Linked DNA regions of Macaca fascicularis. The protein of the gene in region 1 purifies or fractionates together with the protein of each later gene. This does not show direct contact. Links are inferred from orthologs where the notes say so. Each region holds a gene or a part of one and is shown on either strand. Other genes may lie near its edges.

Evidence for each region. Proteins that work in one complex are often made in the same cells at the same time.
Region 2: the proteins of AURKA (region 1) and WDR62 purify together in Homo sapiens (affinity purification with mass spectrometry; 3 studies listed by BioGRID and IntAct, counting the BioPlex papers as one, with this or other methods). This does not show direct contact. The link is inferred for Macaca fascicularis from reciprocal best matches to the Homo sapiens genes AURKA and WDR62.

Annotation. Positions count from the first base shown.
Region 1 is NC_088384.1:112,406,383-112,412,153, reverse strand, and holds part of AURKA (aurora kinase A), read left to right. Parts: intron 1-3,248; coding exon 3,249-3,397; intron 3,398-5,771. UniProt on the Homo sapiens protein: Mitotic serine/threonine kinase that contributes to the regulation of cell cycle progression.
Region 2 is NC_088393.1:43,340,059-43,345,899, forward strand, and holds part of WDR62 (WD repeat-containing protein 62), read left to right. Parts: intron 1-2,389; coding exon 2,390-2,608; intron 2,609-3,742; coding exon 3,743-3,870; intron 3,871-4,208; coding exon 4,209-4,312; exon of another isoform or gene 4,313-4,534; intron 4,535-4,658; coding exon 4,659-4,769; intron 4,770-5,008; coding exon 5,009-5,146; exon of another isoform or gene 5,147-5,243; intron 5,244-5,740; coding exon 5,741-5,841. UniProt on the Homo sapiens protein: Required for cerebral cortical development. Plays a role in neuronal proliferation and migration.

The DNA of each region.
Region 1 (5,771 bases):
TAATAAAAGTCCAAATGTGTCAGTTTTTTCTTTCATGATTGTGCTTTTTGTGCCTCTCCTTTTTTAAGTGATTAAAATTACTTGTTTTAAGAAGTTGAGTCTTAATTTGGGCCGTTTCTTATTGGATTGACAGCTTGATAAAGCATGTTGGATGGTGGTTACTTTGATTTTTTTTCCGTTTCTTGGTGGAGATCTCTGGGTAGCGTGGACATTAGTTTTCTTTGTTTTTGGCATTGATGTACATGGCATTTAAAATCAAGTAATTTTACTTTCAGTATCTGATGAAATCACACTACTATGGACATATGGCCCTTTGGTCTTGTCTCTGCAACAATGACATGCTGTTTTACACTTAAAGACTTAATCTTAAATGTTTGTGCTTCTCCTAAGTAGAAACAGATCTCTAATTTACTTTTTAAATATTAGCTAAACAAATCAACTTCTTATTTAATTGGCAATTAATATTTCTTTATGAGTTCAGCTTTTGGGCCAGCTTTCTCTTACAGCTCAATAAGGAAATCTGTGCTCATTCATGGTAGTGACTGCCTCAGGTGATCACATTTTACCCTTGGGTTTTTTCCTTGTCATCTTGCTTACGGTGGGTTGGAGTTTGTTGTTTTGGGTCAGTTAATCTTTTTCTTCAGTTTCTGATATTGATATCCTACTTTAAAAGATTCACCTTATCTCAACAGTATAAAATTACACATGATACTACTTCTCTGTTTTCTCTCCTCACACCCAAGGCTTCAATCTAGATGGAGTTTTGGTGTGAGCAGATAGCTATTTGAAAGAAAATGAAAGATTATTTCTGTCTAGATTCCTTTGCAGTTAGAATGAATACGCATGTACCTGTTTTCCTTTTCAGATGAATTCAAATAAAACTAATTGTAGTGACACGTCAGTGACCTATCCATACCTGCAGTCTAACAACATGTGAGGTGTGGAGGGAGTAGCAGTGCCAGAGAGCCATGGCGAAACTAATAGCTTCTTGTCTGGAAATGACTGGAGGAGTGAAGTCCATTGCCTCTTGAACTTTAATGTGTGCAATTAAAGCATCAGCAACTCAAAGTCGGTGTAGTCAGAAGAGCAGCTTTCTTGTATTTGACTTCAGTTTATCGTGGTCTGAATTTTGATCTCTGGCTTTGGACTGAAAGAATGAAAAGTGTTTTTTCTGCCAGTGACACTTGGTGTTTACTTATCTGTTTAGTAAACCTTTTTGATGTAAAATAATGTTCAATCCTGTCTAGCAATTGCTTTAGAAAGGAAACTCAAACTTTAGGCAGAGCTAAATATATTTTTTCAATATTCAAACAGTTACCTGTATGATAAAATAAATTCTGGGCCAGGCATGGTAGCTCACACTGGTAATCTCAGCACTTGGAGAGGCCAAGATGGGAGGATTACCTGAAGTCAGGAATTAGCGACCAGCCTGGGCAACATGGGGAGACTCTGTCTCTACAAAAAAAAAAAAAAAAAAAAAAGAAAGAAACATTAAAAATTAGCTGGGCATGGTGGCACACACCTGTAGTCCCAACTACTCGGTAGGAGGATTGCTTAAGCCCAGGAGTTCAAGGCTGCAGTGAGGTCTGATCATGCCGTAGCAATCCAGGGTGGGTGACAGAGTGAGACCCTGTCTCTTAAAAATAAATAAGTAAATAACATACATACATACATACATACTAGATTTGTTGGCTAAATCTTAGAGATAGGGACTGGAAAACTTTTCTTTTTTCTTGCTTTTTTTTTGAGATGGAATTTCATTCTTGTTGCCCAGGCTGGAGTGCAATGACGTGATCTCGGCTCACTGCAACCTCTACCTCCCGGGTTCAACCAATTCTCCTGCCTCAGCCTCCTGAGTAGCTGGGATTATAGGCATGCACCACCACGCTCGGCTAATTTTTGTATTTTTGGTAGAGAAAGGGTTTCACCATGTTGGTCAGGCTGGTCTCGAACTCCTGACTTCAGGTGATCCCCCTGCCTTGGCTTCCCAGAGTGCTGGGATTACAGGTGCCCAGCCAGGCAAACTTTTCTTACAAGATAGTAACTTGGCAGGGTGCGGTGGCTCATGTCTGTAATCCTAGCACTTTGTGAGGCTGAGATGGGAGGATCACTTGAGGTCAGGAGTTTGAGACTAGCCTGGTCAACATAGCGAGACCCCCATCTCTATTAAAAAAAAAAAAGATAGTAACTTAAGGAAATAAAATTAACAAAAGGACTGATTTCTTATGTACTTCTATGCTGACTTAGTGTAACCCAAAATTTAACATGCTATTTAATATGTCAGTGCAACTGCTTTTTAGTTTCTGTTTATTGTTCAGGATAATTTCTTTCTCCTGATATTCTTGAAGTAAATTTTTAGCTTTAAACAAATTATTCTGTCACAGAATGATCTTGGTTTTAAAAAAAGGAATTGACTATACTTGAAAAGTTAATTTTATTTTTCTAAAAAAGAAAAAGGCAGTATTTACACACCTGAATCCTTAATTTGTACCAGGTCTTCGGCACTGCCTTACTTCCTTGCCGCAGGGCCGTTTGTTGCCGTATGGGGGTGTAACTGTTAGGCTGGTGCAGAAGTAACTGTGTTTTGCATTGAAATGGCACCAACCTAAGAGCTAGCTCTAACTAGCTGAATGTCTTTTCCGTCTTTCAACATCACACCAACTGTATTAGCAAAGCGATAACTAAACATTGGGTAATTTCACTTCATGCTAACCACTATAAATTGGTTCAGTTGATTCTGTGTGTGTGTGTGTGTGTGTGTGTGTGTGTGTGTTTGTGTGTGTGTAGACTCATGTATAATTTCTACGATGCTTGCTTCAAAACCTGCAATATGTGTTTTTTGTTTTGTCTTTTCCTTTTTGAGACAGGGTCTCACTCTGTCACCCAGGCTGAAGTGTGATCATGGCTTACTGCAGCTTTGACCTCCTGGGCTCAAGCGATCCTCCCGCCTCAGCTTCCCAAGTAGCTGGGACTACAGGCATACACCATCATGCTTGGCTAATTTTTAAATTTTTTTTGCAGAGATGGAGTCTTGCTATGTTTCCCAGGCTGGCTTTGAATTCCTGGGCTTGAGTGATCCTCCCACCTCAGTCCCCCAAAGTGCTGGGATTACAGGTGGGAGCCACTGTGTCTGGCCAAAACCTGCAAACCATGTTAAATCTATGTTGTGTTCCTTTCAGAAGAGATGTCTAATATTAACTTGTGTTATACAAAATCTAAAACACAGGCTTTCAATATTTTTTTAACAGTATATAACAGAATTGGCAAATGCCTTGTCTTACTGTCATTCGAAGAGAGTTATTCATAGAGACATTAAGCCAGAGAACTTACTTCTTGGATCAGCTGGAGAGCTTAAAATTGCAGATTTTGGGTGGTCAGTACATGCTCCATCTTCCAGGTATGTAACTTTAGAGGTGGAAGTTGTTTGGTTTACCAGAGCCCTGGGAGCTAATCATGAGCCAAATATAAAATATTTTAGTGTAGATTTTGTGCTATAAGAGGGGTATGTAGCTAACCCAGAAGTACCTTGGAGTAATTTAGGCTTAATAATAAACTAGGGTTTGCAAGAAAATTTTATTCTGTGGTGATTTGGGGCTATTAACAGTGTTCTAGGCCTAGGGTTAAAGATGCTTAATGTCCTTAGAGGCTAATGAGGGGATGAATGAGTCAACAGATAGGACAAGTATATGACAGAGGTGAAGTGCCCATGTGTTGAGGGGGAGGAACTCTTCACCTCTGCTGCTTCCTGGATGAGGAGATGGGGAGATGTTCCAGAGGACAGCACCGACAAAGGTCTAGCACTCAGACTGCAGGTCATATCAGGGAACTTGAAACACCAAATTAGTTTGGTGGAGCTTTGAGGGCAGTGGTGAGAGATTCTCTTTGGTCTGCCTCTGTCAATAGTAGGGATAGTCCTTCCTTGTCCCCTCTCACAGCTGAAGCAGAGATGTCAATCTCAAAACAATTCAAATCTTAAAGAGCTTTCCACATGAACTACAGTATCTTTACTGTTTTAAATTTGAGTTTAAATAAGCTTTGAAACTTCACGTGAAGTGGGGCATTTTAAAGCATACATCTACCGATCAAGGTTTGTCAACTTTGGAGGACTCAAATTATAGCCAGATGACTTAAAAATCAAGCTAGTTAAAAAAAAAAAAGTATAGCCTAAAACAGATTATATGTGAGGGAGAAATCCTTTGCTTTTGTTACAGAGCACTTCTAACTGTTCCCAGCAATGCATTGAATCTGCTATTGCAGTCTTTTTTTTAAAAAAACTGGTTGTCATTAGTGGGAGCTGTTATCTGCTAAGACAAACCAGAATAAAGAATTATAGGCTTCATGGAATTGCAGAGTTAAACTATTTTAACCGGTTGAATTGTGATAGAAAAGATGGCTTCTTGCTTTTTGAAAAGATTGCTTACATAACCGATAGTCACTTCACTCTGAATCCCAGATGTTAATCATCATCATTTCCTGGTTATTGCCTCAGTTTGAGAACCCGCGATTCAGTCTGTTGGTGGTGATGGAGGGGTTAGATGACCAGAGTGGTAGCTTCTTAATCCTACATCACAATTCAGTAGTGACTGTGTGCTCAGTGGGTGCCAGGCCTGGCTGAACACAGCACCAGGGCTGTGACAGCGTAAGCATCTATGGTGAAGAGCAGCTGGTGACAAAGCAATACGAAACCACACGTACTGTTCTGGCTTGGTGTCTGCTGTCCCCAGCTTTTTTCCAACCTTCATTACAAAAACCTAAACCGATAGAAATGTGGAATTGGTAGTTGATGGCCTACCTGTCTATCCAGTGCCTGCGTTCAGCACTTTTTCCCATTTAGTCAGATCGGCTGCATCTACTTTTTTGGTGAACACTTGAAAATACGTTGCAAACATCATGATGCTTCAACCTGAAGCACTATAATAGCATGCATTTCCTAAATAAGGATATTCTCCTATATACTTAGAACCATGATCACTCCTAAGAAAATTAACAGCATTGTCAGTATCTAATATTTAGTCCATGTTCAAATTTCTCCTATTGTCTATGACATCTTATAGCTGGTTTGTAAAATCAGAACTCAACCAAGGCCCATGCTTTGTATTGGATTGTCTCTGTGGTCTTAAGCCAGACCAGTCTCCCACTTTAAAGAGGACTTTTCTGATTGTGTTGCCACTTAACTTGGACCTTTATTCCCCATATTTGCTGAAAACTGGAATGGAGGTCTCAGGGCCTGAAGAGATTCAAGTTAAAATTTTTTTTTTTTTTTTTTTTTTTGAGACGGAGTCTCGCTGTGTCACCCAGGCTGGAGTGCAGTGGCGCGATCTTGGCTCACTGCTGCAAGCTCTGCCTCCCGGGTTCACACCATTCTCCTGCCTCAGCCTCCTAAGTAGCTGGGACTACAGGCGCATGCCGTCACGTCCAGCTAATTTTTTGTATTTTTAGTAGATACGGGGTTTCACCATGTTAGCCAGGATGGTCTCTATCTCCTGACCTCGTGATCCCCCCACCTCCGCCTCCCAAAGTGCTGGGATTACAGGCATGAGCCACCGCGCCCGGCCAAGTTAAATATTTTTGGCAAGAGTACTTCATAGGCCACCCTCAAAATTTCAGCATGTATCTACATCTCCACCCCAGTGCTGTTACAACGGGACAGTTTCTAGTGTCTTGTCATTGCGACCAGGCTCTTAAGATTCTTAGCATATCTGTAATATCCACATGCAGATGTAGAACTCCAAATCGTATTTGCAGAGAACTCTGCATGGCAACTTTTATAT
Region 2 (5,841 bases), on another chromosome or scaffold:
AGCTTGCAGTGAGCTGAGATCCGGCCACTGCACTCCAGCCTGGGCAACAGAGCCAGACTCCGTCTCAAAAGAAAAAAAAAAAAGAATCAAGAAGGAAAATACGTCAGCCAGGTGCACTGATGCGTCTCTGTGGTCCCAGCTACTCAGGAAACTGAGGTGGGAGGATCATTTGAGCCCAGGAGGTTGAAGCTGTAGGGAACCGAGATGGCACCACTGGACTCCAGCCTAGGCAACAGAGTGAGATCCTGTCTCAAAAAAGAGAATAAGAACAGGGGCCCAGCACGGTGGTTCACACCTGTGATCCCAGCACTTTGGGAGGCCAAGGCAGGTAGATCGCTTGAGCCCAGGAGTTCAAGACCAGACTGAGCAACATAGTGAGACCCCATCTCTACAAAAAATTTAAAAATTAGCCAAGCGTGGTGGTGCATACCTGTAGTCCCGGCTACTCAGGAGGCTGAAGTGGGAAGATTGCTTGGGCCAGGGAAGTCGAGGCTGCAGGGAACTGAGATGGCACCACAGCACTCCAGCCTGGGCAACAGAGCCAAGACCTTGTCTCATAAAAAAAATAAAAATAGAGAAAATAAGGAGTGTTGGGGGGTGGCAGTTTTAAGTAAACAGGAAAGGCCTCATTGGGAAAATGATATTTGATCAGAGTTGAAACAAGTGAGGCAGGGAGATACTGGGACGAATGTTCTAGTCATAACAGCCTATACATGTAAAGGCCACGAAGCCAGGAGCTCAAGACCAGTTTAGGCAACATAATGAGACCCCCATCTCTACAAAAAATTAAAAATAGCCAGGCATGGCTGGGCACGGTGGCTCACACCTGTAATCCTAGCACTTTGGGAGGCTGAGGCGGGCGGATCATGAGGTCAGGAGGTCAAGACTATCCTGGCTAATACGGTGAAACCCTGTCTCTACTAAAAATACAAAAAATTAGCCAGGCATGGCAGTGGGTGCCTGTAGTCCCAGCTACTCGGGAGGCTGAGGCAGGAGAATGGCATGAACCCAGGAGGCGGAGCTTGCAGTGAGCCAAGATCACGCCACTGCACTCCAGCCTGGGCAACAGAGCAAGACTCCGTCTCAAAAAAAAAAAATAGCCAGGCATGGTGGTGCACATCCATAGTCCCAGCTACTCAGGGGCCTGAGGCAGGAGGATTGCTTCAGCCCAGGAGTTGGAGGCTGCAGCGATTGTGCTACTGCACTCCAGCTTGGACAGCAGAGCAAGACCTTGTCTCTTAAAAAAAAAAAAAGAGGCCGGTGCTGTCGCTCATGCCTGTAATCCCGGCACTTTGGGAGGCCGAGGCGGGTGTAATCCGAGGTCAAGAGATTGAGACCATCCTGGCCGACATGGTAAAACCCGGTCTCTACTAAAAATACAAAAATTAGCTGGTCATGGTGGTGCATGCCTGTAGTCCCAACTTCTCAGGAGGCTGAGGCAGGAGAATCACTTGAACCCAGGAGGCGGAGGTTGCAGTGAACCGACGTCGCGCCACTGCACTCCAACCTGGCGACAGAGTGAGACTCTGTATCAAAAAAAAAAAAGAAAAGAAAGAAAAAGAAAAGAGAAAGACAATGTGGATTATAAGAGACAGAGTAAGAGAGGTGAATGAAGGATGATCCCAAGGTTGGGGCCTGAACAACTGGAAAAAACAACTGAAACAGGGGAAGCTTTAGGAGGAGCAGGTTTGTGTGGAGGAAATGAGGAGCTGAGTTGTCAGCATGTTAACTTTGAAATACCTACCAGACATCCATACAGAGATGTAGAGCAATTGCATGTGCAATTCTGAAGTTTCAGAGAAAATTTCATGAATCCCAGCTGGGCATTCCCAGCACTTTGGGAGGCCGAAGCAGGATTGCTTGAGCCCAGGGGTTTGAGACCAGCCTGGGCAACATAGTGAGAGTCCACCTCTACCAAAAACCAACAAAATGGGCTGGGCACAGTGGCTCATGCCTGTAATCCCAGCACTTTGGGCCAAGGAGGGCGGATCACTTAAGGTCAGCAGTTTGAGACCAGCCTGGCCAAAATGGCAAAACCCCATCTCTACTAAAAATAGAAAAATTAGCCAGGCGTGGTGGTGGGCACCTGTAATCCCAGCTGCTCTGGAGGCTGAGACAGGAGAATTGCTTGAAACTGGGAGGCGGAGGTTGCAGTGAGCCAAGGTCACACCACTGCACTCCAGCCTAGGAGACGGAGCAAGACTTCATCTCAAAAACAACAAAAAAAAAAAAAAAAAGAGAAAGGTTCATGCTGGAGATACGTACCTGGAAGTTGTTTCTGAATGGTATTGAAAGCCAGGAGCCCGGATTGGCTGTGTGAAATGTCTGTGGCGCTCCCTGCAGTGAGTGAGCACTCAGCCGGGTGCCTGACTGTCCCATATCCTTCAAGCTAGGGGACGATGATGTGCCAGATGGCTCGGCCTTCCATGCCAAGCGCAGCTACCAGCCCCACGGCCGTTGGGCAGAGCGGGCTGGCCAAGAGCCCCTCAAGACCATCCTGGATGCCCAGGACCTGGATTGCTACTTTACCCCCATGAAGCCCGAGAGTCTGGAGAACTCCATTCTGGATTCACTGGAGCCACAAAGCCTGGCCAGCCTGCTGAGTGAGGTACGCACTTCCACCCCAGCCTGGTCTGTAGCCCTGGCACTGTGACGGCCCCAGGGCCTGGCACCTCAGGCTGACTCCCACTCCATGGGGGCAGGGAGGATTACGTGAGGTGGTGAAGGGTAGGAGGGTGAGCCCCAGGACTGTTGCACAGCAAGACTTCCCAGGGCAGACAGGGAGTCGTTGGAAAGTGAGTCACTTGGGGGTTAAGAGCTTGGATGCTAGAGCAGGCTTGTACCCAAGTGGGGGACATTTGGGTAGATGGAGCCCTGACCCTACCCATTCCTGTTGTGTGACCTTGAGTAAGAGGCTTACCTCTCTGGGCTTCAGTCATCTAAAAAGTAGTCATAATCGGGCCGGGGCAGTGACTAACACCTCTAATCCCAGCATTTGGGGAGGCCAAGGCAGGAGGATTACTTAACGATCACTTGAGTTCAAGGCCAGCCTGGGCAACATAGCAAAATCCCACCTCTACAAAAATATTTTTTAAATTTTTTTGTTTTGTTTTCTTTTCTTTTTTAAAAAAAAACTTTTAAATGGTAATAACAATCTCTTCTGCCCCAGAGGGCTTTTACAGGAATCCATGCTTAAGCATAGGGCCTGGGCTCTTAGAGGTGCCTGTGCAACTTTAGCTCTTACTCTACTATTTTCCAAACAAAATTCCTTTTTATCCTATCCTATAATTTGTCATCTTTATTGGGGTATAATATACATCCAGTAACATGCACAGATTTTAGGTATACAGGTTGATGAACTATCTGTGTAATTCATATGTGTCCACTACCCTGGGTAAAATCTGGAGTGTGTTCTACCTCCTAGAAGGTTTCTGCCCCTCCCAATCAGGTCCCTGCACCAGGATAACCAGTATTCTGACCTCTAACCAAGGACTGGGTTTCCTATTATTGAACTTCATATAAATAGACACGTAGAGGGTTGGACCTCCTATTTTTGGTGCCACACCTCTTCCTCATCTATAAAGGGACTGATAACGCAGGGGCAGCCCAGGACAAGCTGGTTGTGAGCAGAGTGCATGGCACAGGCCCTGGGTCACAGCCTCCAGCAGCCAGCCATGGTTCCTGGCGTAACAGTGGCCCCAGCCATGGCTGCTTCAGAGTGGCTGTGCTGTCTTCCCCATAGTCAGAGAGTCCCCAGGAAGCTGGCCGCGGGCACCCCTCCTTCCTCCCTCAACAGAGGGAATCATCTGAGGCCAGTGAGCTCATCCTCTACTCTCTGGAGGCAGAAGTGACAGTCACAGGGACAGACAGGTGGGTGTCCTTTCTACCAAGGGAGCTTTAGTTGGAGGAAGCCCCAGCTGATAGCTGCACCCTGGAAGAACTGTTCTTTGCCTTCCCAGTGGGCTTGTGGGAGTGGGGACAGTTGTGGCCTGGATGGGGCAGGAGCCCAGCCTTAGTTCCTTGGTTTCAGGTGGGGTACAGGAGGGCCTGACCTGGGGGAAGGAGGGGACATTTGGAGGAGGCGGGGAGGCTGAGGCAGTGCTCCTGCAGGAGCAGCGGGTACGGGTGCCTAGGGGCTCCAGGTGGGGCTGGCTATTGAGTCTCCAGCTGAAGTCCTTGTTCCCTCTCTGCCCCCACTGGCACTGCAGCCAGTATTGTGGGAAGGAGGCGGAGGCCAGGCCTGGAGACCAGCAGGGCGACTCCTACCTCAGGGTGTCCTCCAACAGCCCAAAGGACCAGAGCCCACCTGAGGGTGAGTGCAAGAAAGGCAGGGACCCTGTGACAGTCTGTGCGTTCAGCCAGGCCCCTTTCTGGGCACCGATGGTGACTTTGACCCAGTACTGAAGCTCAGAGTCTGTCGAGGAAGACACATGTGGTCCCTGCTGCTGCCTGAGGATTCTGGGCCCAGCTGCCTACAGTTGAGAGCCCAGCTCTGCCACCTCCTTGATGTGGAACTTCCCTCATTCATAAAATGGTGGGTGGGTGCTTTTATCATCCCTCCTCCAGATGGGGAAACTGAGCCCAGGGAAGCATAGCCCTGGCCCTGGCTCACCTGAATGGTCAGGCTGTGGGCTCCTGACCCCAGCTCTCTCCTTCAGACTCGGGGGAATCAGAGGCCGACTTGGAGTGCAGCTTCGCGGCCGTCCACTCCCCAGCTCCGCCTCCTGATCCCGCCCCTCGGTTTGCCACGTTGCTACCCCATTTTCCAGGTAAGCAGGGGCCAGACACACAGGGGACTCGCTGCTCGGGCCTGGCTTAAGGCCAGTCACAGTGTTTAAGCACAGGCCCTGCACTTGGAGCCCACTGAGCCTGGAAGATGGGGATCCCTGCTTCTCAGCCTGCAGGCAACAGGGCAGGGATGGGTGGGGCCTGCTTTCTCCATTTCAGGTGGCGTCTGCTCTGACTCATGGTGTTGGCTCCTCTTGTCCCTCCCCTCCTTCCCTGTCAGGATGCGCAGGTCCCACAGAAGATGAGCTGTCCCTGCCCGAGGGACCCAGCGTCCCCAGCAGCTCCCTACCCCAGACTCCGGAGCAGGAGAAGTTCCTCCGCCACCACTTCGAGACACTGACTGAGTCCCCCTGCAGAGGTAGGACCCTGCCTCACCCGCACCTGCCAAGGCCATCTGTGCAGCCTGGGCACAGCATTGGTGTCCCTGGAGTCGGCTCCCCAGCAGGGCCGCGAGGGTGAGTGGAGAACACCTGCTCCGTTTTTTTTTTTTTTTGAGACGGAGTCTCACTCTGTTGCCCAGGCTGGAGTGCAGTGGCGCAATGTCAGCTCACTGCAACCTCCAACTCCCCGGTTCAAGCGATTCTCCTGCCTCAGCCTCCTGAGTAGCTGGGATTACTGGCGCACACCACCAAGCCTTGCTGATTTTTTGTATTTTTAGTAGAGACGAGGTTTCACCATGTTGGCCAGACTGGTCTCGAACTCCTGGCCTCAGGTGACCCACCCGCCTTGGCCTCCCAAAGTGCTGGGATTATAGTTGTGAGCCACCGTGCCCGGCCTGCTGCTTCACTCTTGACCTGAGCCTCACGATGCCTCCTCGCCCACTGCCCCTGCTTGTACCCTGTGTCTGCACATAAGGGTTTCTGGGGATTGCCCCACTGGGCTGTTGGCTGGCCTGGGGCTGGGGCTGCTTGGCGGGAAGGGTTATGAGGGTCACCTCGGGATGTTCCCCTAGAGCTCTTCCCCGCAGCTCTGGGAGACGTGGAGGCCTCTGAAGCTGAGGAGTACTTCTTCAACCCACGCCTGAGCATCTCCACGCAGTTCCTCTCAAGCCTC